Lonchura striata: one gene and its partners. The protein of the gene in region 4 purifies or fractionates together with the protein of the main gene of each other region. This does not show direct contact. Links are inferred from orthologs where the notes say so. Each region holds a gene or a part of one and is shown on either strand. Other genes may lie near its edges.

Region 1 (7,547 bases), on a different chromosome or scaffold from region 4:
GGCAGTTTAGCCATTTGTACATGAAGCTGATTCAAACTTTTGTGTGAAAAGTAAAAATAAATGCCTGCATGAAAAAAAAATATCATGTCATGGGTTAAAAGGTGTAACTTGACATAAGTAAATTTGCCACTTAGTGCCAGCTACCTGAATTAATTATTGGAAAAAAAAAAAAAAAGCAATGAGCAACAGAAAAACTTGCAGCGTACAACAGTATGGTTTTTGACAAGAAAAACTAACCAGGAAGGACACCCAGGAAAAAAGGAAAAGGTGCTGACTGATCATTAGAGAAAGAAAATGCTTCATATCTAAAAGGCCCTGTAATAACACCTACAAAATCTGCACTTTATCAATCACATTTACATCAAATGACTAAAAAATCACCCCCCAACAACATCCTAGAAAGACTCCAACCTTTTGCAGTGCACATTGAGGATTATTTTCTGCTTTAAACTAGGTCACATCAGTTCTCTCCAGTAAAACTTTTTATTCTTCACTCTGGAGTGTTTTATTTATCCTTTCATCTTTTCAGCACTCTCTCCCCTCATGCCACTTTAATCTCTCTTCCACTTGTCACAGTGCACATGAGCACCCTGCTCTGCACATCACCCAGACAGCTGACCTGGTTCCTGCTGAGGACAGGGGGATCTCCCCCTCTCTCTGCTATCACAGGTTTGGTGCTACAGACCTCCCACCTCCAGCACCGACCCTGCCCAAACCTTCCCCACGTTAATCTGGGCCCCTCTCTGCACTGATCCTCCACCCCATTATACAAATCATTTTCTGTCAGTCCACCTCAGAGCGTGTTTTATTTATGCCGCACCTCACTTGTTCCAGTATTAAACTTGTTTATTTGATGATAGATTTTTTTTAATAGATAATAATTTTTATTCCGTTTGGGACAAAATAATTTGTTCACAGAAAATTGCTGCTTCTCACATCTATTTCTCACAGCAAGATTGGCTGTGCAAAGCCTTCCTGCCTCCATTTTGCTTTACTGAACACATGATTTCCATTAGACAATGAGGATCTACACATTCCTCAAGCTGTTAATTCCTCAGCAAGGCATTAAAAATGAAACAACAAGCCAGAAACAATAAGTTCTATTGCTCCTTCACAGGATATTTTTGATTCACTGGAAATTATTCTGCTGGCAAGATACAATAGGAAAACAAAAAAAATCTTTAAAATCAATTCAAGCACATTAGTAAAGCAGCAAGGGGAATAACTCGTCTGATGTCTGTCATTATATATTCCACATGAATGAAACTAGATCTGTCCTCTCTGAGAACTGAGTTGCACAATTCCTGTGCAAGTGGCAGAGACCAACATTCCAACTGTGACACCCTGTCAGACCAATAAGAAGTTTGATATTTGCATTTGTTTGTTTCAAACATGAAAAGCCACTGGTTGTTAAGAATATTCTAGTATCTAGTTATCTGCTCAAGGCTTGACTTTCTAAACATTCCCTGCCCCCATAGAGAAGTGGTCAGATATTCTGTGTATTTATAAGCCATTTAACAACTTCGCACATTAACTGCTTCTGCCAATAACATCCAAAAGTCAAGATTAAGATTTCAAGCAGGCACAACCTAAGCCACAACTGGTAGACCGCAAGCAGCAGAAAACAAATTGATTTGGGGTAATATATTCCACTGCCACTGTCTGCACACTGTGAGGAATGGTGATTTGCTATCCTGAACTGCTAGGAAGTATTATCTGGCTGTTTTTGCTCAGGCAGTGGTGACAGCTCTGTAACCTAAAGCACAATCTCTACTTCCTGGATTGGTTTAAAAAAAATTACTTGAGTCTAAAAGTACCGTAGAATCCTTGAAGAAGATCAACTATTTAGCAGAATCAGGAAGCTGCAGTTAAACAAGCAGCTTTAGTACCTCCCTCAGTAAAATTGTGTAACCAGTTGTAACTTTATTTAATGAAGGCATTATTTTTATCACTGGGGTGTGCATAGCCCTATTTACATGAGCATTTGATCCTGCAGCCTCTCAAAAATCAAAATAATGCATTATACAATAAAATCTGTTAGTGCTTAGGTTTGGATTTACTATGATTAAACTGGAGCCTGACATAAGTCTCCCCTGGGAGATAATTCTACCAGACCGAAGCTAAATGAGCCAAAGCTCCATGCGGATATCTGCACATTCTAATTAAATATTCAGAGAAAATGTAGTCAACCCCTGTGTGAACGCGTTTCAGCGCTGAAGAACGCGAGTGAGCTGGGTTCAAACGCCACTGGCTGTACCAGGATTTGAGCGCAGGAGCTTCCCGAGCACAGGCCCCGCGCTGCCCACAGAGCGCCCGGCACCCACCCGGGACTGCTGCCGAGCCGACACCCGCTGCAGACACAAAAACACCTGGCACGGCCGGGGAAAACCCAAACGGTGCTCGCATCTATCACAAGCCTGAGGCTGGCAGTGTGGCTGGCGGAAAGCAGCAGAATAAAGGCACCTGCACAGGGTTAAGTGAACAAATCCCAGCGCTGGCACATCCCTCCACAGCGCTCCGGCGCTCCACGGGTGTTCGCGAACTTCAGCTGCGTTCTGCTCTGAGCAGCACACGGAATTTCACCGGGAAACGAGTCCCGCCGAGCCGGGACTGCTCCCGACCCCCGAGGGGCTCCGCAGAGGGATTCAGCAGGGCAGGTCCCGCCGCCGCCCGGATCGCCCCCGGCCCTCAGCACAGCCGCGGCCTGCCCGGGGGAGGCGGCCCCGGCCCCCGCGCTCACCTGTCCCAGTTGCTGTCCCAGTAGCTGCCGCTGCCGGCGGCTCTCTCGATCCAGCCGGCGGCCGGCGGGCAGGAGGCGGTGGGCGGCAGCAGCAGCAAGCCGGGCGGCGCGGCGGAGGGCGCGGCGGAGCCCCCCGGGCGCGGCTCGCTGTCGCCACCCCCTCGGGCCGGCTGCTTGCCCACGACGACGGCGGAGAGCAGGACGGAGCCGCCCGCCAGCCCGCAGGCGGCGAGCGCCAGGGCGCGGCGGGCCGACATGGCGGGGCGGCCGCGGGCCCCTCAGCGGCGAGCCCGCCCCGCCGCGCCCCGCCCCGGACGGAGCGCGGCGCGGGGCAAGCTTCCTCCCGAACGGGGAGCGCGGGGCTGCGGGGACCCCCGGCCCGACCCCCCGGCCCTCACGGACCCTCAGAGACCTTCACAGGCCCGTCCCGGCCCCTCTCCCCCGGCCGCGGTGCCGCGCCCGCCTCTGGTCCTGCCTGGCCGCTCCCAAACCGGTTCCCACCCCAGGCCGGTCACCGGGTGGGGCTGGGCAGGGATTCCCCGCCAGCCCTGCCTGCTTTAATCGCCTGAGGCGGCGGTCAGTCCTTCAGGGCGAAAAAGACCCGCACGTTGAGTCCAGCCACTAACCCGGCACTGCCGAGTCCGCCACATTTAATTACAAGCCCCGAGCCTTATCACTTGTCCAGCTGCTCCTCAGCACAACAGACCAGGAGTCACTGGAGAGGGTCCAGCAGAGGCCACAAGGATGATGAGGGGCCTGCAGCGTCTCTTAAGAGGGCAGATATGGGAGCTGGGCCTGTTTAGTCTGAAGAGAAAACTCTTTCTCACTAGTGCCCAGTGATGGGATAAGGATCAATGGCCTTAAACTGGAACACAAGAAGTTTCACCTCAACATGAGGAAGAGCTTTATGTTGAGGGTGGCAGAGCACTGGGACAGCTGCCCAGGGAGGTTGTGGGGTCTCCTTCTGTGGGGACATCGCAAACCCACCTGAATGCCTTCTGTGTCACCTGTTCTTGGTGACCCTGCTTTGGCTGGGGAGTTGGACCAGATGATCTCCAGAGGTCCCTTCCAAGCCCAATCATTCTGTGATTCTGTCATACTGGAATAGATTTCTTACAGGCATCACTGGGTCTATGGCACTGGAAACCAGGAACCTGAGTTTTGGTTAATAAAAGTGGTTACCAATTTACAAACCAGGTGGATTCAGCAGAGCTGAGCTGGCAGCACCCACCTGGGCATTCCCATCCCACCTCTTGTGCCTCTGGCCTGAACGCTACTCGCTCTTCACACAGAGGCTCCCTCCAGAAGCCAGAGCTCATTACAGCTCCACACATTGCCTTGTGCACAAGAAAGACACGGTGGAACTGAAATGTTAATTACCTCACACTGGAATGTTAATTACCTGTAGATGGCCGATGGTGCTGTCTTAAGCTCACAACAGAGGCCTCATGGAGAGAGACTCAGAAAAGAGCCCTCTTTTTCTGAGCTGACATCCCAAATTCAGCACTGGTCTCTACCTGTCAGATTCAGTAGTTTGCAAATGGTGATAGAACTGCTGCTGAATGTGGACCTTGGGATGCCAGAAGATTCTACAGATTCCACTATCCAGCTTTTGTTAATTTAATTATGCATTCTTACAACATCTGTCCACCTGTTCAAGCTCTAACTCCACACCCATATTCCACAAATTCTGTAATACTATTCCTGCTATTCCACTGGCATGCCAGCTGGGCAGACAGTTTCCAGCTGCCGGATTTCAACCAGTGTGAGTGACCCGGAGCCACTGAGACCAGAGCCTGTCCCCTGCTGAGTTAACAGGCTCAGGCTCCTGCAGCACTCACAGCAGGGGTACAAGGACGCTGTGCCTGCCCAAAGAAAATGGTCTTTCTGTTAAAGTGAAGCAACCTTCCAGCTTTCCCAGCCGAGTGTCTTTCCCCTGCCCACCACTCCGTGTCTCTGTCTCACACACAGATGATGCAGAGGAGGCACATCTGACTGGAGCACAGGTCCTTTGCCTCTGGGACATTTCACAGGCCGACAGTGGCTCCCAGGGGTCACATAAGTAAATCAGACCCTGATGAAAATCTGCTACACACCCTCCTTTATCCTTCTTGCCTGCTCATTCTCTGTATTTAAGATACTCGGCTTTCTGTTTCTTCTTATATAGCTTTAAAATGTTAATTTTTTTCTTCAGTTTATCTTATTATATAGGCAGGTGTGGGTATTTATATTGTGTATGTTCTTTCTTACCAAGAGTCCAGAGGAAAAAAGTTCTGTTTCAAAACCTCACATCCAATTCCTCCTAAAGTAGCATGGTCCCTTTTCCCCAGGTCTCAGTCTCCCAAAGTCCTGCAAATGCTTTCAAAATCTTTTCTCTCATAATGCCTGTTCTCTTTTATCCCTCGTAATACTTATTCTCCATTAAATGCTCCCACTTGTGTCCTACCTCTTCCTCTCCTGCCTGCCCTCTAACTGAATCCCATTTGACCTCCAGCATCTCACAAATGAAGGAAAAAACTGCACCAGACACCATCACTCACTTGGGGACAGGGACAGGTTGAAGCTGGATTGGACAAATAAAACTATTTCTGGTGAATCTCTCAGTAGCTTGAACTGAATTCTAAAATCATATGGTTCCATTTGAAATTTCAGTGCTATTCGAAGTGCATTGCTCACACAAGTACCTGCCATTTGAGGTCAGAATCCCAGTAATAAACACAGGCAAGTTTCTGGAGTGCATGACAGTGTCACCAAATGCACCAGGGCTGAGCTCTCTCTCTCACCACCAGAAAAATTTCAGACTGTTATTAAGCAACAGTCAAAATTGTTTCCCCAGCACAAAAAAGTATTGCTGAACATCTGGGCAATCTCATTATGCTAGAAAATGAAAATTGATAATATTGTTTGCCTCAATGCTGCATTTTGGCTGTCATTAGTCTGCATTAACACTTCACCATCAGGAATCTCCTGTGCCTGTGCTCCATTCTGCAGTTTATTTTTGCTTGGGTTAGGCACTAATACACTTAGGCAATTGATGTTCAAAAGTCTTTTGAGATTACCTTAGATTTTCCTCAGTATGTCCAAAAATGTTATTAATTAGATTATATTTACCACTTTTTAAAACTTGCAATTCAATTAGGTAAAAAAAAAAATCTCAAAAATAATTTGTTGAAGATTACCACTAGCTTGAATATACAGTCCTGTGTTCAACAATATCTACCCAGCTTCTTGCTCTTTGTTCTTTTTATATGTATTTATATTGCTGCTCTTTTAATCCAGTTTTATTGTGTTGTATTTCATTTGTAAGCAGAAAATCCATCTAAGAGGATAACAACCTACTGATGCCCACTAATGGAATTATTCTGTTAGTGAAAACAGTAAATGCTTTTTCTACTGATGCCATAGGTCCAATCTTCAGGGATGATTCCCAGGGGCTTATCCCATTTCTGTGGTTTGATGCACAGATACCTTCAAGGAGGATGCCCAAGGTTAGGGCAGCCTCTGAACTGTGCTGTGACCAGAACAAAGAGAAGAGAAGTCAGAAAACCAGCAAAAGGTTTCAGAAAGTTCAGCACAGGTTGGGCCCAACAAATGGTTTCCCCTGGCAGGCAGAAAATCCCTGTGGCTAAAGCAGACCCACAGCAGCCCTCGGGGTTAACTTCACCAGGAAGACAAACAGCTCATCTCTGTATGGGACTTGGATCAGCACAGGGATGAGTCAGTGTTTGGATGTTTTAGCGTTAGCTACAGGGAGAGCAAGGGCAGGTCTCTAGCCTACAACTGGCAAGCAAAGTTTATGAACTTTCAGGCTTTTTTTTTTTTTTTTTTTTTTTTTTTTTTTTAAGCAAAACAGAGTAATAAAAGGACATTTGAAACAAGGAAAATGTGGTTTTGAAAAGCCTCTTCCATGACCTCAAAAATTTTTACTCACCATGTATCACCTTCCCACTATTAAACAAAAACAAAACAAAAAAGTGTAAATTTATTCTCGAAAGAACAGAGAGAGAGAGGAAAAAAGCTAACACTATATCATTTGAACCACATGTGTTCAGACATACACTGTGGACTTACTGCTGGCCTTCTTAAAGGAAATATTGATGTCATCCTGGCCTGCTTCAGATCCTGCAACATTTAAATGATACATTAAACATTTGGGTTATAAAATGATGCTACTTAAGCCCATTTAATATTATTTTTTTTTTATGAAGCAAGAGAGAATACTAGTTTTAAGCAACTTTGGTTAATATGATTTGATTAGTTAAAAAAAAAAAAAAAATAAGATTTTGAAGCAGACCCTGGCTTCCTGACTGTGTCTGACTGCATCACTGAAGGGTAACCAGGACAAATACTGTGTTGGTTAAATACAGCACAACATTTTGGGAGATTGTGGCATGAAAGAAACTCTACATATATATATATTATAGCAGTGATTCAGATCTTGAATTTAATCTAGATGGTGTGAATCATCTACTAGAGGATTTTTCAGATTTCCTTTGACCAGAAAAAAAAAAGAGAAGCGCATTTAAGATGAAAGACTCCTCCTCCTCCCCAGGCACACTCTCTAGAAGCATATTCAAAAGCAGGCTTCGCCTTATCTAAAGCATACAAAGTCTTTATATCATGAATGATTAATCTATTTCTTAATTTTGCTCTCACAGTCACCATCTTTCTAACTGAAGTAGATTGAAAGAATTTTTTTTAGTAACAGTGGGCATCACTGGTAAACTGAAGTATCTGAAATACACCTATAAGGAACTGCTCTTGTTTGCTGGGACTGGATCCTTTTCCCTACTCCTTTAGTAAGGAG
Region 2 (7,440 bases), on a different chromosome or scaffold from region 4:
TAACTGCAAGACTTTGTGGCAAATTGAAATTAAAAAAATAATTTTTTCATTTGTCTTGAATCAGTTTGAAAATAAACGAATTGGATATCCCTCATGCAGCAAGCAGTAATAACACCTGTGGTATGCCACCATCAAGGCCTTTACAGAAGACCTATTCATCTTGAAAAGTTATTTTTAGACTAGAAAAGAGCAACTCTTGCTCAGTGGCTAAGGCAGAAGGAAAGAAGAGACCTCCCTCTGCAATGACACCACCCCAGGTGACGCTCTCCTAATGACAACTCCAGGACAATGGTTTAGGCAGAAAACTAGCCTGTTACCTGTCACACGCCTCAGGGGCTCCATCAGAGACAGCCCTGCCCTGTCCACAGCCACGACACCATTCTCTTTCAGGTACTGCTTCAAGGAGGGATGCATCACCTTCTGGCACAGCACAAGGCCCACCTCATCCTTAACCAGCTGCTGCCCCACATTGAGCAGCTGATTCAGCTCTGACGCTTCCAGAGAAACTCCGTGATGGACTGCTATAGTTCCTTCCTCAGGGTTAGAGCTGTCACCTGACATGGACACACTGAAAAGTGCAATCTTGATCACGTTTGAACCAGTCCTTTTGACAGCAAGTGGTTTTCCCAATTGGATTTCTGGCGTTTCTATCAGCAGTCCAGGAAGAACTGCAGAATCCACAACTCTTCTACCTTTCACAGGTATTACCACACACTTGCCTAAAACTGCATTAGTCTCAACATGACACGGAACAGTAAATATAAAAGCCTTTAAAACCAGCGAGGTGAGATGATCAACTTCAGTTTTATTAAGCATGCAAGCAGGTTTGCTTGTTAAAATGCTCCGTACCAAACAAACAAGAGTCTCAAGACTGCTAAAATCCACAGACACCCGGCAACCACAGGCCTCAGATTTCAGGTGGTTCATGCACAGACTCAGAAGATGCTTGCTTATTTGAATGACAGTAAAAGGTGCAACATTCAGGCTCCTGAAATTTTCAATGAAGCCACAGCAAAGAATGGCAGTGAATAAGCCACAGTCACTGAAACGTGACATGTGGTTCAATACAGAGGCTGTCAGGACACGCAGCACGGGCTGGCTGATGGAAAGGTGCCCCAGGAGGGCTGAGGATTGGGAAGTGGCACAAACACAGCCCCCCGCACCATTGTGGAGCTGTTTGAGTCGACCAGCAGGACCGTAGGAAGATTTTAATACCCCACTCAGCAGAGACAGTGACTGACTCACTGCATCTCTAGTTAACGGCTTGCTAGTAAATAACGGAGGCTTTTTAGCTTCAAGGCGAGACATTTTGAAGGTAAGACTTTAATTCTAGCCAAAAAAACATTTCATTTTTGCTTGGATCCATAATTCATTGTACTTTCATATTTTAAGAGTAGTACATTTTAATTCTTTGCAGGTAAGGATTATTTTCGGTGTGAAACAGTATATATAACATTCCTGAAACTACTCATCACAGCTCTCTTAAAACGAGGCTTAAATCATGCAAAATGGATAAACAGCAGGGCGCTATTTCATTCCAGACGATTTTTTCTAGCTTCTGAATGAGACTGGGCAGACTTTTTCGCAACATAGTTTACAAGTATGCTTCCTATATGGACACCTATAAGTGACAGTCCTGCCACAAGCAGAAAGTTCTTTCTACTCCAGGTAGTTTTCTTCATCTTTTCTGGCAACAGTCACAGATGAAAACCTTCAAGCTTAGTTATACCTACAATAAAAACCAGAAAGATATTAGAATAATCTTATGAAAATATTGTATAACTTGACCTATTTTAGTTTTCACCAAAAAAAGTCACAGAAGGACAAATACTGCACCAAAAACCATTTAGGTTGGAAAAGACCTTTGAAGTCGAGTCCTGCTGTTACCCCAGCACTGCCAAGCCACCTTTGAACCATGTCCCCACATGCCACATCTATGCATCCATTAGGTGACTCAGCCACCTCCCTGGGCAGCCTGAACCAGTGTTTGACAACCCTTCCTGTGAAGACAGTTTTCCTAATACCCAATCTAAACCTCCCCTGGTGCAACCTGAGGCTGTTTCCTCTTGTCCTAAGCACTTGCTACTCGGAAGAAGAGACCAACCCCCACCTTCCAGGTGGTTGTAGAAAACACCACATTGCCCTGACCCTTCTTTTCCTCAGGCTGAAGACCCCCAGCTCCCTCAGCACTCCTCACAGGACCACTGCCCTCTCGGGACTCATTCACACCTCAGTGTCCTCTCTGAAGGCTGGAGTCCCTCAGCAGTGCCAAGCACAGGGGACAATCACTGCCAGCACACGCTGGCTCATGTTCAGCTGCTGTCACCACAGCATTCCCAGGAACCTCTCCAGCCACTCTTGCCTGTAACTCGGCATGGGGCTGTGACCCCAGCGCAGGACACAGCATTGTCCTGGGCTGGGGTCAGGGCTTTGTTGAACCTCCACTGGCCTATGCACTCTCATTTTTAACTGAGAAAATCTACTAATATGATTTTACTACAAACACAGAGAGCGCACCAATTATACCTGTCTATTAATAACTTCAATTCTGACCTCTGGTCTGTACTGTTATCAGCAGGTCTGTAAGTAGCAGGCTACCATCAACTTCATTGAATTGCACTGAAGTACCAAAACTACAGTGATAGTCACCTGATTTTACTCAAGAACAAAAGAACTCAACTAGTCAGCAGTACTTGCCAGGCAACAGAAACAACAGCTTTTGATGTTCAAACAAGGTTTCTTATTTCAAGAGGCCCGCAAAGAAAGTTTTTCAGTTCTTATAACAGTAAAACTTAAATCAACGCTTATTTACATTTCTATGCAAACTCTACAGTATTTACACTCGTACTTCCTTTTGTTTCATTCTCTGTTGTAATCACTATCCCTACTCAGTCATAATATGTTACTTTGTACAGTCAGAATTATTTCTGGGCAGTTTTAAACCTGAAAGGACACTGTTATAAATCCAGTCACATGAGTTTCATTGCCGTCCTGAAGTTACTGGAGCTTGTTTTAAAATATCTTTAAGACACATAATACCCTCACTTAACTGAGCTCATCGTGTGGGATTTAGCAGTAGTTTTTGAAATTTATGATGCACTTTTTGGGTCCATGTAGGTACAAAAAATTAACTCAGTTGCAAAGTAGAATAAAGCTCTGAAAGACTAAAGTTAGAATACCAAGGCTGTATGTTTAAAAATTCTCAATTAATTCATCCTCTGCCTCATAAACACAGACACAACTAATTAGGCAACTTACCCAAAAATCAAAGTACTAATGCTATTTTTCTTTGCTTTTGCGAATGCTTTGCATCATGAATGTCAGAATGTCACGTTCTGGAGAAAAATCCTCTGTCTTCACTTCGAAAATAGGACTGGACTTCAAGTAATACCAGCCCCAGTGCACTAGCCCCAGGCTAGCTCCCATAACAATCAGAACTTTGTTGTCCTTCCAGAAGGTTTTAAGACTCATTGCAAACTGGCATCTACCTAGGTAAAGATAATTTATTATTTTAAACATATTCTAGAAATATTTTTTCCTTACTCTGTAATAACAACAATGAATACATGAAGCTGAATGTTAATACCTTTAATTGCAGTGCAGCAGATGACTAAAACACTAAACAAAAAGCCTTACTTTGTGAACAAAAACGCACCTCAATTCAGACATTTTGAAATGTTAATTGCTGCATTGTCTTCGAGCTTTGGCATGCTAAATCTTAAACACAACAAAGCTTTATCTAATTATCTAATTACAAGCACTAGTGCCCAGATGGTAAGCATCTGAAGCCCAAAAGCAGGTTCAAAATACACCTTCCTCCCCATAGTTAATAAAATTCAATGAGTAGCTGAGCTCCCAAGGTAATACAGAACTTTGAAATTGCAGGCAAAGCAAGGTGTGCAGCTCCTGAAACCACTTTACCTTTGTTCAGCTTTGCCTGACCACCTTATAGTATTCAGAAGCGGCACCATTACAAAGGGAGCAATTAACTAATCCTCGTATAATAAGAAGGTGGAAAAAAAAACCCAACATACTTTCCATGGGATTTCGCACGTATACTCATGTTTTATACCAAAATACCTCACTGGTTTGAGCGGCCACAAAGCTGTAACTCGGAGAGGAGATGCTCCCACCCCCGCCCAACCCCATGACCCTGACAGGTGTAACCCGGCCGACCACCCACCCCTCCCGCACCCCGGAGCCCTCCCAGCCCCCTGCTCCTCCTTCCCCGCGGCACAGCGACCTTGAAGCGCGGGCGGCTGAAGGCACAGCGGCGCGAAGAAGGTGCCACCGAGGAGGCGAGCACTCACCCGCCCACCCCCACACGTTCAAACACGCCCCGGCAGGAAGCAGAAGCACGCAAGAAGCACGGCCCCGGACATGCCGCGCCGCCCCTCGCCGCCCGCCATTAGCCGAGCGCAGCGTCACTCGCGACCCGGCCCGCCTCAGCCGCTGGCGGCCATTTTGCGTGCGGGCACGCGGGGCGGGCGGCGGCGCCGGGCGCGGCCATTTTGGGTAGGGCAGAGGAGCGGCGGGAGGCGGGCGCGGCGGGGGGAGGGTATGGCCGCCTTGTGCCGCCCGGCGCTTGCGGCCGCGCCTGGGCTCCGGCCCCGCCTGGGCTCCGGCCCCGCTGTTCTCTTCGGGTGAACCTCTGAGGGGATGCTCGCAGGGCCAGGGCTCTGGCGGCGGTGCCGCTCGGCTCCCACCGAGCCTCCCTCAGCCGCTCTTTCCCGTTCCTCAGCCCCGCCCAGCCTGGCCGGGCATAAAAACGTGTATATATCTGATTTTTCTTCTTTGCATGCCCGCTACTGTGGCCACTCCGCCTTACACCTGCGTCCAGCTGTCTGAGGCTTCCTGTGGGCGGGCGAAAGTGCCCCGGCCAAAACAAGTTCAAATAACTTTGTTCCCTAACCTCCGGTTTCCGTTAGCTCTTTTGCTTTCCTGTATTCACTCCTGTAAGTACAATAAATACTCCTGTGAATACAGTTATACTTCTGTGTTCACTCTTCTCTCTACTTCTGTAGTCACTGTCTAGAATATCTCATTTTATATTCATTTGTTAATGAATGGGTTTGTTTTCAATTTCGTTTATAGTTGCAGAGTTTATGACTGTAGCCAAAAGACAAGTATTTAATGCCTCATCCCCATGCAGAAATGAATATAATTTCTAAAATAGTATAGTAATTTTTCCTTGCAAATTGCAATCAGCTGTTCCACAAAAGTTTAAAAATATAATAGTACCTGTTTGTGGCCCTGTGATACTCCTAAGAACCTCTCCTCCCTCTAGTTCTAGGCAGTTCTGTGATGACTGGGTCACGTTTTGGAAACTGAATTGTTGAGCCTTAAAGGTGAATTGGCAGTTTATGAATGAAGGAGTGTAAATAACAATGAGGAGAAAAGGTGCTGACTGGGATGGAAGAGTATTTTTCAAGGATTAAGTGGAGTAATTGGCAGCAGTGGGCATAGAAATCCTGAATGGCAGATAGGAAGATCGTGGTGTATAGAAATACTGAATGGCAGATGGGAAGATCGTGGTGTATCTTTCCGGAACTGGGGATGCTTTACTGGCTGTGTGAGTAGCTGAGCATTGCACTGCTCATCCCAAGCTTAGGATCTGCTCCCAGAAACTGACAAGTGCTGGACGGGAAAGTTCAGAAAAGTCTTTTATGTTGTGATAGTTAATTTTGTGTACAAAAATACTTAATATCAATTTACCCTACAGAGTTCTTTAATTAGTGTTTGTTTCTGCCGCTTTCAGGTGCCCCCTCTCCCCACTCGGAGATGGGCAGTGGGTGAAGCTTGCTGCTGTACATCCAAGTGTGTGCCAGGAGTTTTCAGTTCCTCCTCCCTCTGAGCTCTGCATTTCCTCACCACAGGAAGCTGCTTTGCCAAGGTAAGATCCTTTTCATCAGCTGGCAGAGGACACTTGAGCTTGCTCTCTGGATGACCATGTGCTCTGGCTTCTCCTGAGTACCCACCGCTCCATTTGACTCAAATTTAGGGGAGAAAGTTATTCTGCCATGTTATTTTTAATGTGCATCTCACTCTAGCTACAGGCAATCTATGTGTTTGATTCTAAATCATGTCTTCATGCACAGGTAGTATCAAAATTTTATGTCTTGGAATACTACACATCCTGTATCAGGACTTTTTTAGTATAAATATATATATAGTCTTGCGAGGAGCTTTTCTGCCATATTTGCTTATCTTCATGTGTCCTTGTGTGGTGTTTACTTTAGAGGTTTGCAACAGAAAAAGGATTCCATGAGACAGAATCTTGCTGTCAAACAGCAGCAGTTGTAACAGATCTGTGGTTTTGGTGTTTGGTGTTTTATTAAACACAGGAAGTGGCAAAGCATTTTGGGACTAGTTGTTTTTGGTTTGTTTTTTCTTTCCTTGAAAAATCGGTGAGTGGTTTTCCTTATCTTCTGATGTCTTAGTATTGAGTATTTTTTCACCTGGGCCACTTCAGTGATTACCCTGATGGTTCACAAATAAAATATTTTCCTTTTTTATTCTGTGGATTTTCTTACATTTTGTCTGTCTGCTGTATTTCCTTTGTCTTATCTGTGTGGTCAGTGCAAAGAATTGGGGTAGTTGGCAAACTCCCAAAGTTGGCTTACACCCAGGAAGAGCAAACTGAACCAAAGCTAACTTCTCTTGTGTGTCCTTTTCCTTTTTATGTTTTTCTTCTGTTATTTTGTAAATTGGGTTTGGAGGGGATTTTTGCATGCCAGCAGTTTTCACGTGAGTAGTAGCAGACGTGTTGCAACAGTATTATTCTGGAAATTAAACTGGTAGCAGAAGAAAGCAGTGATGTCAGGGTAAGTTCAGCAGAGCTTTCTACATGACTGAACTGAACTAGGATGTCTCAAGTGGTCCAGAGCTCTGTCCTTTGCATTGTGTTTCTCAAAATTGCTATCAGTAAAGTTGTCAGGATTTAATGAGATAAAATGGAGACATTTCCAGGGCTGTTTGGTGCAAGGGAGAATGATAGCGAGATGGCACAAGGCATGATGGCATTCCAGCTTCTGTGTGCAGGACTGTTAAGAATTTTAAGATTAAAATCATCGTGCTACACTGTGTAGTTTTAAAGGCTGTTTGTTTATCTTGTTTTGCACTTTTTTGAGTTAAATAATGATAACAATTGCATTGTGAAACGTGGAAGCATAGTGTGTGACAGAAACAAGTATCCCCAGCCTGACTGGTGTCCCGAAACATCGACAGCTCTATCGCAGTACTTACCTGTGACTTGAAATACAAAATGAGAAATATATACACATTCCTCAATTTTTAATATTTGCACTCAGGATCCCAAATGAAGTGATTTAGGTCCTGTTTTGGATAAGCAAGGGAGGAGGATGTCCAAAGTTCACTTTACTTTTGTGCAACCACCATAAGATTTGGGTTATGGTGCTTTATGTGTATAGTATAAAATTT
Region 3 (7,986 bases), on a different chromosome or scaffold from region 4:
ACAGTACAAATTAAGTCCTATCCTGCTCTCCCCAAAAAAATTATTTTCTTTATCCCCTCTAGGATTCTCCCTTTTCCTTTCTTTGAATGCCATCTATCTATCTGGCTTTTTTTCCTCTTTTGTTCTTTCTCATGACTTTACACCAAAACAAAGGTGCCCTGTGTTACTCTTTCCATCAACAGAGAAGCAGTAAGAGCAACACTGAAGCAGACACAGAGGCAGTTCAAGCTCCTGTGCTTACACACCTTCACACTACTTCAACTCCAGACGTGAAAACAGCATTAATTCTGTCAGTTTTACCTTTTGGCTCTTGAACTATGAGGTGAGTGCATTCATTCATCTTCAGCTGGCCCGTGTACTGCCCACCATGCTCAGTAGTGAGGCGCTGCACTTCTTTCCTGTCGGAGCTGCTTAAGCCAGTGACACAAATTGTGCAGCCAAGGAACACAGGACAGACGTAGTCTTCCACGTTAACATCAGTGTACCTCACCATGCTACAGGAATGAATGAGAGAAAACAGTCATTTTGCAAGTAAAATCAACTATGAAAAAGAAATTAGTCTGTACATAAGAATTACCATTATCCAAAACAAAATCAGTTTTGTTTTTTTCATACCCTTGCTGAGATTTATCCCACAATGTCTTAACCCAAGAGGGAAGCAAAATAGGTTTCTTCAGGGAAGCAGCTACCAAGTATTTCTTGCTGCCAACTTCTCCAGCTATAAGATGAGTTACTGACATGTTGAGATCTCTGTATACACATCCACCCATCATTTGCACATATTTATGAACTTCTTCCTGGATGGGGAAAAAAACAGAGAAAACAGACAGGAGAAAAAAGAACCTATGTGGCAGTCATGTTCACTTTGCACCAAAAACATGGATTTCAATTGTCCACGATTTCCCCTAAAAATACCAACTAGATATATATGGAAGCCATAAAAAGGAAACTGTAATTTCCATTTTATTTGCACTTATGATGAACATAATATATACCCTAAATATATACCCTAAATAAAAACATGACAATTGTGGTCTATGAGCAAAACTTTGCAGATGGTTACCATTTCAGGAAGTACTAGAAAAAAATATCAGAATAAATATAAAGTAAACATATATAATCATATTTGAGGTGTATTAATACATTAATAGACCACACATAGTCCACAAGGTACAGAAGACTTGATGGATCTAGACACAGGCACAATGAGACATATATGCTCTGACTGCTGCCTTACTAATGAACAATGCAAAGCAAGTATCAATGATAACCAGCTAAACAATCCATCCTTGGGAAGGCCTTACCCTCACGTCCTTCTCCAGGCTGGTACAGGACACTGTGACATCAGCCATGGTCATGTTGTACACGGGATACTCAGCTCTTGGGACACAGCGCTGCGACTGCATGCAGTACAGAACTACCTGTGGTCCAACAATCCTACAGCCAAGCTGCAATAAAATAACAGGGAAAGCACAAAGAAAATAAGCAGGGTGTTCATTTGCATCAGGAAGGCTTTTCTTGTCCCTGAATTCTGAAGAAGGCAGGGCTCTTGGTCTGTCCTCCGCCTTCTTCTCTACAACCTCCAGGTAGCTGACAGTTCTGGTTTTACTTTCAGTTCTGGTTTTACTTTCAGTTCTGGTTTTTCTGTACAATCCTTGTAGATTTTCTGACTCAGTAAAAACAGCTGATGCTATGGCTAAGGCCAAAGGACTCCAGCTAGCCTGTGTCCATTAGACAATACCTTGCAGATGAAACCAAATCAACTTTATCAGGAGCTCAGGGACTCCAGCAGAGAACATGCCATTTACTTTTCCAAATGTTTAAAAATAATCATTATGCTTTGCATAATGATTAATAATAAATAATAATCATACACTGCTACACGCAGTGCAGAAGAGAACATGCAGGATATAAATATGGACATGAGTGCTTCTAAAAAGGAAAGAACAGAGCTCAAAGTAAGTTGCTGGATGCCATACCTTTTTGAGATGACTGAAACCCATGCCACTGAAAGGATCACAAATGTAAAGTGACTTATCATTTTCTTTTATATTGAGTACTGTTTCTTCTTCAAGGATCTGGAGATGTTCTTCTGACTGGAATTCTTTTATAGCCTGCAGGTAAATGATGTGTACAACAACATTTATTTAATTAGCAAATAATTAATAAAGAAGCAATCCTGTGCAAACTACACAAGTGCACGTCCTTGCAACAGCTCACAACAAAGCTACTATGCAAACAGGTATTGGCAGAAGGGCTAAAACACCTCTTCACAATATTCTAACTTAAATATTTCGCAAAGAAGCCTTCAGGACCTGATCCTGCCATATGGTGCCTTTGGCTCCCACTAACCTCCTAAGGTGTAAAACAATGCAGAGTGCTCAGATGAGCGACCACCATCCAGGCCTTACATGTCCCTTCCCTATATGTCACCAGGTTTTGAAACTGAAGCTACTTCATGAGGCTCTCCAACAAAACTGTTCTTGTTCAACAAGCTTTACTACACACTAACACCCCTGCTATAGAAAGAGATTTATTTCCAGGAGTACAGACGTAAGTTAGTTTATTGTATGGCATATACAGCCGAACTCCGACACAGAAATCACACTCCAGTTCACCAAGTTCACCCAGGTCACCAAACCCACTTACCTCAAGAGCTTTAGAAAAATACTCCGAGCTCCCGGCAGACTTTATGAACTTCACAAAAAACGGGTCCTTACTACTTCTCATCCTTCAACTACGAAGCAAAACCCAGTGAGCGCGCTGACATTCCCGCCGCAGCCCGGAAGCCCTCTCGCCCCTGGCGCTGTCCGCGCCGGGCCAGGGGCCCAGCACACGCCGCCCGGCCTCGGCGGCACCGGCTTCAAACGCGCACGGAGGGGCGGGGACTGGCCGACCCCAACCGAGAAGCCCCCTCCCCACCGGGAAGCCCGTTCCCCACCGGGAGGCCCGTTCCCCACAGGGCCAAGGCCCGCACGGACGGGTCCCTGCCGGGCAGCGGGTGCGCGGCGCTCCCGGTGCGCGGCGCTCCCAGCCCCGACGGACCCGGCCCGGCCCCTCACCCGCGCGGGAAAGCGGCGCTGCCGGCACTGCGCAGGCGCGGGGCGGGGCCGGGGTTTTTGATTCGCTAGCGCTGCCGGGGCGGGCAGAGGGGGCGGGGCCTGGGCGGATGTGGGCGGGGCGTGCCCGCGCTCCGCCCGCAGGGGGCGCTGGGCGCGCGCGTGGGGAGCGGGCGGGGCGGGCGGCTCGCTGAGGGCGCGCGGGGCCGCTGGGGGAGACGGGAGCGGAACTTAGGGAATCACCGAGGGATAACGCCTTGGGAGGGTGCTGAGCGGGCGTCTGGCCCCAGCCTCCCCTGCATGGCCCCCGCTGAATACGCTATACCCTATCCTGGCATTGACCACTACCAGGGATGGGGCATCTACAACCTTCTTGGGCAACCCGCTCCTCACCACTGTCACAGGAAAAAAATTCTTCCTGATATCTGACCTAAATGTCTGTCCCTTCTTTCAATTTGTGCCCCATATTATTCAATTTTTGCCCTATATATACATTACTCCTTATTCCTATCAGGGCAGTTCCTGACTGTGAGTCCCCCTCTGGCTTCCCTGCAGGCCCCCTTCAGATGCTCTGCATTGGGTTTGCACAGCCTGGTTAAAAACCAGGGTAGCCGGGGTGGCTGCTTTGAGCAGCCTCTGGAAGCTTCCTCCATGTCCAGCAGAGCCAAGCCCTGGACGATCCAAAGGTGGATTGGGCCAATTAGAAATGGCGATAACGTATCTATAGTAATATATTTAAGAAGAGAGAAAACCAAAAAATAGTTGGGAAATGGTAATTGTGGCCGGAGAAGAGTGGCGTGAGTTGCATTTTTCATCAACCATCACCCCCAGGTTGTTCTCCACAGGGCTGCATTCCATCGCTTCTACACACAACCTGGAGCTGTGTCTGGCATTGCCCTGACCCAGGTGTAGGACCTTGCACTTCACTTTCATTCTTGTAGGTTGTAGCGTCCAAGCTGTGGGCAAGAACATCAAATGCTCTCCTTCCAGAGCAAGGTCTGGAATCCGGAACCACATTCTTGGCATCTGCCTACATGATGACAGGGGGACCCTGCCTACACATCCGATGGATCTTCATTCCACTCTTAGTGACCACAGTGCCTTGCTGCTGTTTGCGTAATACTGATAATGCCTCTAGTGGGGGAGTCATTCCATTAGGAGATTTTCTTAGGGAAAGAGATCACACTATTAATTAGGTTAGAAAAGACCTCTGAGATCATCGCGTCCATTCCATGACCCAACACCATCCTGTCAACCAGATGGCAGATGTGGTACCACACCAAGAGCTACATACAGTCTCTCCTTAAACACCTCCAAAGACAGTGACACCACCCATTGGAAAGCCCATTCCAATGCCTAATCACCCTTTGTGTGAAGAAATTCATCCTAGAATATGTTTTGAACGAGAAAAGCACCAAAAGCCTGCCTGGAGTAGTGCATGTTTGCTGGCATCAAACTCTACAGTGAGACCACAGGGTGGCACTGTGATCTTAAGAACTGAAGAACTGTGCACAAGTCCGCTGCAATTGTTAGATTTTATCTAGATGACCTAATACTTAGGTCACTAAATACACTGGAATTCCTTTATACGCTTATTTATTTTTAAAACCACTAATATAAATCATCTAGGATCAGTATGAATGGCCTGAGATACTGCTTTTCCCATTGGTAAATGTAAACAAAATCAAATGTCATGACAACCAAAATAGCGTATTTATTATTAAATTATAAGTGGATTTATCTTGATGATGCTGTGTTATTTGATTATGCTGGTTCTTGGTCCACTTGTAAAACCCCAATTTTGTCCTGCCTGTTCTTTCAGTGTTACGAAGAGGAATTTATTTTCCTTTTTCATTCTTCTGGGCTGTTGTAAAAAATAAGGGGATGGAGGTGGGAAAAGATCAAGAAGTCTAACAAAATGTTAACCAACTTTAATGGATCGTATAATACAAACTATTGTTACAGTTATTGGCAGAGTCCTTAACTGAATGTATCAGCAGTGCAACCAAATACTGAGTTTTCAATTTTCTGCTTGAATGTGGATCACGGTTCATTGCTGTCACTGAAATATGACTTGTTTTCATGTGCTGAAGTGTGATCCCTTTCCAGTGAAGTGGTGGAAACTCTTGATAAGCTGCCAAACCACTGGGCCATCAACCTCAGTTCCACCTCTTTCCTCCAGAAGCTGCTTGTTGCTTAGAAAAATCCATTATTAGAAGTCCATGTTGTAGGAGAATCAGGGCAGTTTTTACATGCCTCTCAGAAAGCTTATCAGTGTGCCCATGCACGTTTGGTTGTTGTGCTTTGCTCCTGAAAGGTTGACAAAGAGGCATTACTGTGTCTGGCATCAAAGCCCTCCAGAGAAAGTAGTTTCCTAACTGCAAAGTGTTTTCAAGACCAAGCGAAAGTTCTTATCAAGAGCAGAATAAAATATAAAATTTTTCTATAAATGTATTCTGTAAGTAAAAAAAAAAACAAAAAAGCCTGACTAGAAGGTGTGTATTTGTCATTACACTGATATATTTACACATTTTAAAAGCATGTACAACGTCCAGAAAGTAATTGATGCACAGAGCCTTAAAGAAGAGTATGCAGCTGAAAATGAGGAGTGGTATTCTTCTGTTACACTTTCCATGTGGATGTAGTTCCAAAGAGGTGCTTAATATGACAAAATAAATAACACAGAACAAGTGGTTTGATAAGTAAAGATTTCCCTATTGTACTTCCTGCTTTCACAAGCACTTTCCACTGTAAAATTTCTTTGAGACTTCTTGAAACATTTGCTTCTTTGAAAATATTATTTAAAAGGCTGTCTAGAGAAGCTGGGAAACAGAAATTCCCCTTTTGGATAGTAACAGCAAACAAAATAGTCACTTTTAATTTGCTGTCTCCAAAGCTGTCCAATACCATATGTCTTAGGGGAAGTATAATAACTGTTAGAAGTAAAAATTGGTCCAAATTAATTAATACTCTGCTTGTGGTACATTCTTAAGCACCTGAGTAGCCCAGTATTTATTTCGTGTTTTCTATGTGTTCTGATGTTTTACAGGTTCTGAGCTTTATGGAGAATCAGTCGTATTTAACCACCAGTCTTACTAATTATGGAATTTTGCTCTCTGTAAGACTCCTAAATGGCAAAAAAACCCCCCATTGTCATAGCCCCCCAAATGATACCAGTTTCTAAAACAAAAGATAAATGGTCTGTGCCCTTGACTCTGTAGAACAGGGAGTATTTTTACTTATTCAGATGTTTTGTTAACTTAAATGTTTATAACATACACTTGTCTCTAAAAATATCTGTGTCAATCCAGTTCAGAAATAATTTTCACATCTGTTTCACCACTGCTGTGGTTTGATAGCCATTATGCCTGCATTCATTTTTTTTTTTAAAGTCTTTCTCTTGTGCAGATTACAAAAAAGGCAAGCAAAATCACTGCACTAAAGAACTAAAACAGTCTTGAGTCATTCTTCACATTTGATCCAACCTGGTTAAAGCTCCATGTGAAATACTTTATTTTTAAAATACTGTTACCACACTTATTTTCTGATCAGCTATAGGACATTAGTTTTTAAATGATAGCTCAGTAATATTATATTTTTAGCATGAGAAGCATATAAAAAAGCAGATGAGTAAAAGAGACTCTTCAGATGTATCAAACTCAAAAATCACTAGGTATTAGCCCCTAGCATTTAGAACTATTGTGAGAAAGATCTAAGTGGTTAGGACTCAACCATACACAAAAGAAAATATACCATAAAATATCAGAGTCCATTCTAAGTATATAAAATTTTCCATTTCATGCTGTATGATGGACCTTAGTAACTTAGCATTATTTATAGAGATACACAACCAGACCAGTAAAAAATATGTCTGAGACTAAGTTTAAATGAGTGAGGTATCTTGTGTAATGTACAAAGTCAAGAGATGTTTCTAAGTAACCAGTGTAACTTTAAAACCTCTAGTTCACTTCAAAAAATCTGTTAGCCTGCTAGCTCAGGACCCCAGTCAGGTAATTTTCTACCTTCTTTTCATGTATTTTAAAATACCCAAGTCTGTGAGTAAATGCAAATTTTGGTAAGTATGTGTTCTGTGATTTTTTTTTTCAGCTGCCTTAGAGACAATATCCAAAAGAGATTCAGCAGGCTTTCATCAAAGAGTTGATCTCACAAGAGTCAATCCAATTTTTTTACTTTACACAACTTATAATGCAGCAGAAACTTCTTGTTCTCCAGTAGATTGGGTGTAGGTGGAACTTGCTCGTTCAGCTGTGTCAGCATAGAGAACAGGACAGCATTTAGACAAGTGGGCTGCAATCTGCTTTCGGAAAAAGCTGCGAAGATATTTCCTAAATTTTTCTCCAGCGAAGGCATAAATTACAGGGTTGATACAACAATGGATCATTGAGATTGTTTCTGTCACTTGTATCGCTTTATGCAGTTGACCATTTCCTTCACAAGTAGAGATGGAAAATGCACCTTGAAAATCACGCAAGAGAATGCAAATGTTGTATGGTGCCCAGAAAAAAAAGTAGATAATCATGATGATGAAAATAAGCCTGACTGCTTTATGTTTCTTCTCATTCCTACATTGCAGCAACGTCTTTATAATTTGTGTGTAGCTGCAGATCATGATTAACATTGGAATAAGTAGTCCCAGGATGTTCATATTTAAGGTGAGGAATTGCTTCCATGTATTTCTCTGCTCTGATGGATAATGAGCACTGCAAGAATAGCCTGAACTTTCCTTCTGAGTTTTGTGAAATACTACCCCAGGAACAGAAATAAGAACAGCAAGAGCCCAAGTGACAACACTGGTGAGGACACCATAGGTGACTGTCCTGGCTTTCAAAGCAAACACCGCATGCACTATGGCCAGGTACCTGTCCAGGGTCAGCAGGATTATGAAAAAGATGCCACTGTAGAAGCC
Region 4 (6,880 bases):
TGGAAGTGCTTGAACTAAGAATTTACAATCATTCAAATGTGTTGTTTCTGATCCTTTGTCAACAGAAAAGCACAGATTCGATTTCCAGAGAGTTGTCTGTCCATAATAAATTGTGTTTGATTTTTATCACTTAGGAAATTGTTCAATGAAGGGCAGTAATTTCAAATGAGTCATCTCTCTGAGTAACATCACATTTCCCTCAGCAAACAGCTCAGATACAGTGACATACCAGATGTCCTTAGATGAATTTTAGCAAAACAGAGCAAACAACTTTGTTGGCTGAAATCAGTAGATCTCAAAACTGGCATTAGGGAGTCATCACTAAGGAAATCATTAAGGTTGGAAAAGAGCTTTAAGACCACCAAGTTCCTTTACAATGGCAGCTTCTCTGCCAACCTGCTAATGAAAGCAGATTTGGCCTGGCCACACCAATGCAGAAATCCTGCAGGGCAAGGCAATCAGCCTCTGCTTTCACACCAAACTGACTCGCTAATTCAAGCCACAAAGGCAAAGACCCCTTTGCAGAATCCCTGCTCCTGTTCTTCCATGGCTGGGCTGAGTGAGGAGTCTGTGGGGCTGGATGGAAAGGATAGGTCCTGCTGGTGTTTGACCTGTTGACATGCTGCTCTCGCCGCAGGGTGTTCATGGCTGTGAGATCCTTCTGGCAGATCTGACAGAAGAACAAGCCTGCATCCTCCAGGCTTGCCAGGGCTTCCTCCTTGGATTCCTGCTGAAGAGCCAAAGCCAGAGCACTGTCGTGTTCCACGGATGGGGGATGGTGGGTATCTGGCAAAGAAGGCAGGGATGATGTAAAATGGAAAACTAAATCCTGTGTGGAAGGTGAGAAACTGGTACACTAGTCATTATTAGCTTTTTAAATTAGACACACAAAAATTCATTGCAATCTTCCTCTTGCATCTACACACCTGATCTCCACCAGGAAAGGTACAACCTGCTCTTTTCCAACAGGAGCAAGAGGTGACAATTTGCTCACAGCACATCACATGTCAGACACAATGAAGGGACAGTTTTGGCTGAAGTTTCTGGGGAAATTATGGAATTTTATACATCAAATGTACAACACAGCAGACTTTCATGCCCATACAGAACCAACAGGGACTTGATCTATAAAGAATCAACCAGAGTAAATTTGCTGTGATTTCAGTTTATCAACACAGAACGTATCACCTTAGATAGTGCCTGGAGAGGTACCAAAGATGGGGCTACCTAAGAGCTGCTTAACACTGTCCCAAGGGAAGGATGACCAAGTTCACCGGTCCTGTTAGAATTTCAGTCTGTTTCCAAAGAGACAATTATTCCTCTAGAATTTACATGAGATTAATTCAGCCTTAGAGAAGAGCTGGGAAAAAGGTATGGATAATCCTTTAATGAAGTTTTCTCAGGGATCTGGAGTGATTTGCACAGCAAGCCACTAGGCTAGCCAGGAACAAAGCCCTGGGATCCAGGACTGCTCCTCAGGCAACCATTCTCACCAGCCACTCATTCTGCAAACACCAGAGCCAAGAGGAGACACGTACCATCCTCAGGAGGGTTCTGCTCCTGGCTCCTGGCAGGGAAATCCCTGCTGGCTGCAGCCTTTGGCATGCTCCCATCCGAGCTGTGTTTCAGCTGTTCAGGTGCCACCCTCTTGAACTGCTGCATTCTCTCCACCACCAGCTCTGCCACCCGCACCTTGGGGGTGGGTGAGGAGCAGGTTCCTGGAGGAGTAGCAGGAAGGAAGGGCAGGGTAGTCTGGGAACAGCCGCTTTCTGGATTTACTAGAGGGGAAGAAAACACCAGTTTTACCAGGCAGTTTTAAACACACACTGAGAGCAGCTGGAAGGCCCCTCCCTGAGAGCAGCCTGGGCCAGGCTCAGTTCTACAACAGCCATTCTTGGAGAAGGGAACAATTTGTGTAGCCACAGTAACAACACTGGGGTTCTGTGCTACAGGGGCATTTAGAGACTTCTGTATCCCTTTTATAGGCAGTAATATAAAGAAAGCCCTTGCAGGAAGGTCTCCAGCAGGGACATGGAAGGCAGTCCCACAGCCCTGCTCTCCCAGCATTCCCACTACAGAATGTCCTATTCCTGACTGACCTATTTTATCAGTTTAAGGACTTCCATCATTGGTGACTGCATTCTGGCCATCATGTTTAACAGCTAATGAAGAACTAATCCTTTACTAATTAATCCAACACCCTTCTTAACTCATTCATGTTTTTGCCCTTGAAAACATCCAGTCACCATACATTGAAAACAATATGTCACCATACATTGAAGCATTGAGTGAAAAAGCACCACAATATGCTCTGAGCTTGCTTCTAGATGATCTGAGAGTACTTTTCTCAGTTCTGACACTGCAAAAAACAGTGTATAATGACTGGCCAGCAAATCACTTTGTACCAAGGCTTCACCTTACTGAAGGACATCTGCCTGCAGCACAGAACACACTCCCAGGTTAAACCCATGTAAGGCATAAGCCTGCTTTCAACAGTGCTACTGTGTCCCCTCTGGGTGGACTTCTCAAAACCTTCACTGAGATACAGAGTCCTTCCAGTCCTTGTCTATCTCCTGTGTGAACTGTTTCAGGTCACTTACCTGTCAGAGGCCTCTGGCTACACTCAGTGGTCCCTGTGCTTGGCTGGCTGGCAGGGAGAGGGCTTCTTGCTCCATTCCCCTCTGCAGTCTCACCACTACAGGCTGCAGCATCACCATCTTCTTCGTGCACCAATGCTTGCTCCTCTGGACCCAAATTTTGAAGTAAATTTGTCTCCTTCACTGCTGGTAAGTGATGATGGGTTTGGCTCTTAGCAGCAGCTTTGCCTCTTCTTAATCTGTTTTGTGTTGTGGTGCTCTTTGGCCTGTTCTGAACCCTCTTTGTTGCCCCAGCATCCCCAGCCTTTTTCTTTGCCCTACTCAAAATATTTGCCCACAACTCTTTAAAATCATTGTCCTGTTCATCCATTGGCTTTCCAGTAACACTGTGAGGACTGGAGGGCAGGGGGAAGCACCAGAATCAGTTCAGATTTGTATCAGCCCTTCCAGCACCTCAGAGATGTCCATTCTCCAGACTCCAATAAGATCATCAGACAGAGTGGGCACTTCCAGTAGTTCATTCTTCCACGCTTAATTCACATTCAGTAGAGCATGCTTTCTCTCCAAGAACCTCGTCTGCTTTCACAAGCTGGTTCTTCAGAAGACTCTGGACCACAGGTTAGGCACCTCAGTTTGTGAGAGCACACGTAGGATCATCATGGTAAGCTACAGAGCTTCAGAAATAAACTTATGAAAGCCCTTAAACAAAGAAACAAAGGCAGGTAGTCACACAAGATGGTACAGGCAGATGCACTATGGGACAAGGTGTAAACTGCTGAAGGAGAAGAGGATTTGCATGAAATACTAAGATTAGAAACAGCACATATTGACCCCAAACAGTGTCCCTATAATTGTACTACAGACATGCCCAAGCCACATTAGCAAAGGAGAGGAGAGATATTAAAACACGTATCTGATATGGTTAGGTTTTTTCTTAGAGCTCTGGATTCAGACAGTCCTTCTGTTATACACATTCCTACTTATATTTATATAGCACAAAATCAGTGAATGCAGCAGGAAAAAACTCCATCCTTCAGCTCATGCAGTGATTCTGGAGTATTAAACTCTGCTTTGAGACACTACAGTTTCACAGAAGAGATCCCAGCCTCATTTGGAAAAGTAAATAAATGGAGTTTCTGGTACTTCAGAAGGGGTTTTAGGACAAGTCAGAGAACAATTCCATTAAATATGTTCACCTTTTCTCTCCTCTTACTTCCACTATTGCTCACTCAGGATTAGCTCTCCTGCTCCTGCTCAATTCTTCCCCTGAGTACTCAATAAACCACAGCACTGATTCTGTTTCCCAAACTGCTGTCACATATGTATTAGACAGGGATTACCTGGAACAGCACTGGGTACAGTGTCCAGATGGAAATGCCATCAACTCCCAGGCAACATTAAGACTAGAGCTCTATTCTTACACATGTTTTCATTGTCCCCTTCTTCGTAGTCCTGAGTTCATGATGGTTCTGGCTATTTTACCAGGAGTTTTTATTGCTCCCAAAACCTACTTCTTTCAAACCTAAACCAGAATGTTTCACTTGGAATGGCAGCAGCTGTGGTCCAGTTACTCCGGTAAAGCTCTGGGCAGAGAAAGACTCAAAAAGCAGGAAAAACACATGGGGGACTGTTTTCTCAAATGGCTTGGCTGCAGACATGAGAGGCTGAGGAATGCTGGTTACACACTTCCATGGATCAGCCTTTTCTATAAGCAATTACAGACGCTAATGGATTTATTTATTTTAAACTCAGGCTCCCAGACCTGCAGAGGATTTTGCTGTGAATCTTGGAGTAATTTTCTGTTAGAGGGAAACAAAAGTTTCATGTAGCTGGTTCATAAATTTACTTCTTCTGGACAGAACTCTGGGGTAGTTACAACTGTAAATTGACCATTTTCTTCTAAGGAGGAGACAGCATGTCAAGAAGTCCCAAATCTCACATCCTACACCGCTTTAAATACCTCAGACACATCTGTACTGCCAGATTATTTATGGTGAGTTCCTGATATTAAACTTTGAAACAGAGCAGCATATTTGGCTATCAATATTCAGTGTCCCAGGCAGATCAGATCAGAAACACCTATGATGCAAAACTAAGACTTTATCTGTATTACTCCTCCCTTTCCAGACCTGCATTTACAGATTCCTGCTCTGTTCAACATCTCAATATTTCTGAAGCTGCTGCTACTGCTGCCCCTAACAACCAGCTTTGGCACCAGTTTATTGAGCTCAAAAAGTAACAGTTTTGAAAGTAATTTCTTTCACTATAATGTTCAATTAATTTTGGAAGATTTTAGGACTCAACAAATCACAAAATAATCAGCAGCACTTACCTGCTCACTGAGATGCCAAATCTACAGCCCAGCTGTGCCCTTCAAGTAAACATGGATCAGCAAAATGGTACAAAGCAGGACCAGTAAGAATGAAAGACAGAACCTAGAAAATGGAGGGAAAAGGATGGATTTAATGTATTTTGAAATTACTGCTCTCGATGATCCTTTGCACCCTTTCAATAGGTACCTGATGGGAGCCTACAAAAAAAGATGGAGAGGGAGTTTGGACAAGGGCCTGGAGTGACAGGACAAGGGGCAATGGCTTCCCACTGCCAGGGAGTAGGATTATATGGAATATGGGGAAGAAAATCTTCCCTGTGAGGGTGCTGAGGCCCTGGCATAGGTTACCCCATCCCTAGAAGTGTTCCAGGCCAGGCTGGACAGGGCTTGGAGCAACGTGGAATAGTGGAAGGTGCTCCTGTCCAGAGCAGGAACTGGATGATCTTTAAAGTCCCTTCCAACTCAGATTATCCCGTAATTCTATGATTTAAAAGTATGTACCTACTACGTGCCTTCAATTTACTGCCTTGTAATTACTTAGTTAAATAATAAATCCCTTAAAAAACCCCAAACAGCTAAAACAGCTGTTGCTCTCCCACTTTTCAGAGCAGCCTCTCTTTTAACCCCTGAAAACATTTTTCCACCAGCTATCTGACTTACATGCTCTCAAACACACAACATTTGGGCCTGCTCACTTGCTGCTTTACACTCTGTCTGCTCCAGGAACAATTCTCCTGCCATTTCAGCCTCCAAGAATATGTCATCACCGTGGCTACAACAGCCCATCAGTGCTAGCAGGCCTCCACAAGTTGCACACAGCAGATACCTTCTCCCCTCCTGAGCACCACAGTGGTGCTTCAGGACATCTCCTCCTCAATTCCTCATCTTGAAAGAAAAATTCACTTTATACTTCCAAAACCAGGAAAACACCTTCGAAGCAATCTCTTGTATTCCACAGGAAATGCTAAGGGAAATGGGATTAATTAACATTAGAAAGCAAGGCAACAACAAAACCTGAATTATTATCTGGGGTCCCCAGCACAGGAAGGACATGGAGCTGCTGGAGTGAGTGCAAAGGAAGCCACCTTTGTACCCCACCCCTCCCTCCAGCTTCACCTCAGGCTTCAGGAATCAACTAATTGCCAGGACCTGGATGACCCTGGGCTACTAATTACAGAGTGCTGGCAGCAGCAGGATGATGGGATGCACCACTTGGCTTGGCACTGGAAGTTTCATCACCTTCTCCTCCTTTTGTGGAAGCTGCAGCCAAAGATCTGAGGGTTAGTGATAAAATTTCCAGTCAAGTCAGACCAAATACTGCGAAAGGGAAGAACTTCTGTAGTGTTTTTCCTGGCAGCTACACTGGAAGGAGGTCTCTAGGGATTCCTCCAAACCAAATCTTGTAACAAAAAATCTCCCTACTGGTTCCTGATGGAGAAGAACCTACATGTCAATGGTGTGACTTCTGAAAAAGCACATTATCCTCCAGCCTTTTATGGATTCTTCATTAGAGCCTGATCTCTGCACTAACCAACACCTTTATCACTACTTTATAAAGACATGACACTACATCTGTACAGTGCAGGGTCTCTGTGGTTGCAAAAGCACAAAAAATTTAACACTGAGGACAACAAGGCTTGTTCTGTGAGAACAAATGTAAGTGCAAAACACAAATCCAAAGTAGGTACGACTCTCTTGTCCTGGTCTATGCCAGCTTCCCTGTGCCAGAAAAGGGTAACAAAACCAGATGAGGAAAATAGGAAATGAGAAATTAATTCAAATCTCTATAAACAAGGGAATGCTAGGTAGGAAAATCATACTGAGATTCCAAGGAGCAATCTTAGCAGGGATCAGCATCAGTGTCCATCTGGCACCACCCACTTCCATATCTGATGTCCCATCAGTCCTCACATTTCTGTTCAGGGCTACACCTCCCCCTGCCAGCACCCTG

The links.
Region 1: the proteins of SLX4 (region 4) and PGAM5 purify together in Homo sapiens (affinity purification with mass spectrometry; 4 studies listed by BioGRID and IntAct, with this or other methods). This does not show direct contact. The link is inferred for Lonchura striata from reciprocal best matches to the Homo sapiens genes SLX4 and PGAM5.
Region 2: the proteins of SLX4 (region 4) and SLX4IP purify together in Homo sapiens (affinity purification with mass spectrometry; 6 studies listed by BioGRID and IntAct, with this or other methods). This does not show direct contact. The link is inferred for Lonchura striata from reciprocal best matches to the Homo sapiens genes SLX4 and SLX4IP.
Region 3: the proteins of SLX4 (region 4) and TOPBP1 purify together in Homo sapiens (affinity purification with mass spectrometry; 3 studies listed by BioGRID, with this or other methods). This does not show direct contact. The link is inferred for Lonchura striata from reciprocal best matches to the Homo sapiens genes SLX4 and TOPBP1.

What each region holds. Positions count from the first base shown.
Region 1 is NC_134620.1:8,397,267-8,404,813, reverse strand, and holds the start of PGAM5 (serine/threonine-protein phosphatase PGAM5, mitochondrial), read right to left. Parts: upstream 3,011-7,547; 5' UTR 2,998-3,010; coding exon 2,741-2,997; intron 1-2,740. UniProt on the Homo sapiens protein: Mitochondrial serine/threonine phosphatase that dephosphorylates various substrates and thus plays a role in different biological processes including cellular senescence or mitophagy. Modulates cellular senescence by regulating mitochondrial dynamics.
Region 2 is NC_134605.1:23,369,227-23,376,666, reverse strand, and holds the start of SLX4IP (protein SLX4IP), read left to right. Parts: upstream 1-4,421; 5' UTR 4,422-4,515; intron 4,516-4,631; exon of another isoform or gene 4,632-4,955; intron 4,956-5,758; 5' UTR 5,759-5,893; intron 5,894-7,440. Other genes in the region: molecular chaperone MKKS, read right to left, coding at 318-1,308; uncharacterized protein LOC144246044, read right to left, coding at 1,533-1,682; uncharacterized protein LOC144246043, read right to left, coding at 3,280-3,471.
Region 3 is NC_134603.1:113,164,816-113,172,801, reverse strand, and holds the start of TOPBP1 (DNA topoisomerase 2-binding protein 1), read right to left. Parts: upstream 3,001-7,986; 5' UTR 2,731-3,000; coding exon 2,650-2,730; intron 2,115-2,649; coding exon 1,980-2,114; intron 1,449-1,979; coding exon 1,305-1,448; intron 798-1,304; coding exon 616-797; intron 495-615; coding exon 301-494; intron 1-300. Other genes in the region: C-C chemokine receptor type 5-like, read right to left, coding at 7,261-7,986. UniProt on the Homo sapiens protein: Scaffold protein that acts as a key protein-protein adapter in DNA replication and DNA repair. Composed of multiple BRCT domains, which specifically recognize and bind phosphorylated proteins, bringing proteins together into functional combinations.
Region 4 is NC_134618.1:4,009,744-4,016,623, reverse strand, and holds the start of SLX4 (structure-specific endonuclease subunit SLX4), read right to left. Parts: upstream 3,017-6,880; 5' UTR 2,968-3,016; coding exon 2,601-2,967; intron 1,779-2,600; coding exon 1,539-1,778; intron 787-1,538; coding exon 612-786; intron 1-611. UniProt on the Homo sapiens protein: Regulatory subunit that interacts with and increases the activity of different structure-specific endonucleases.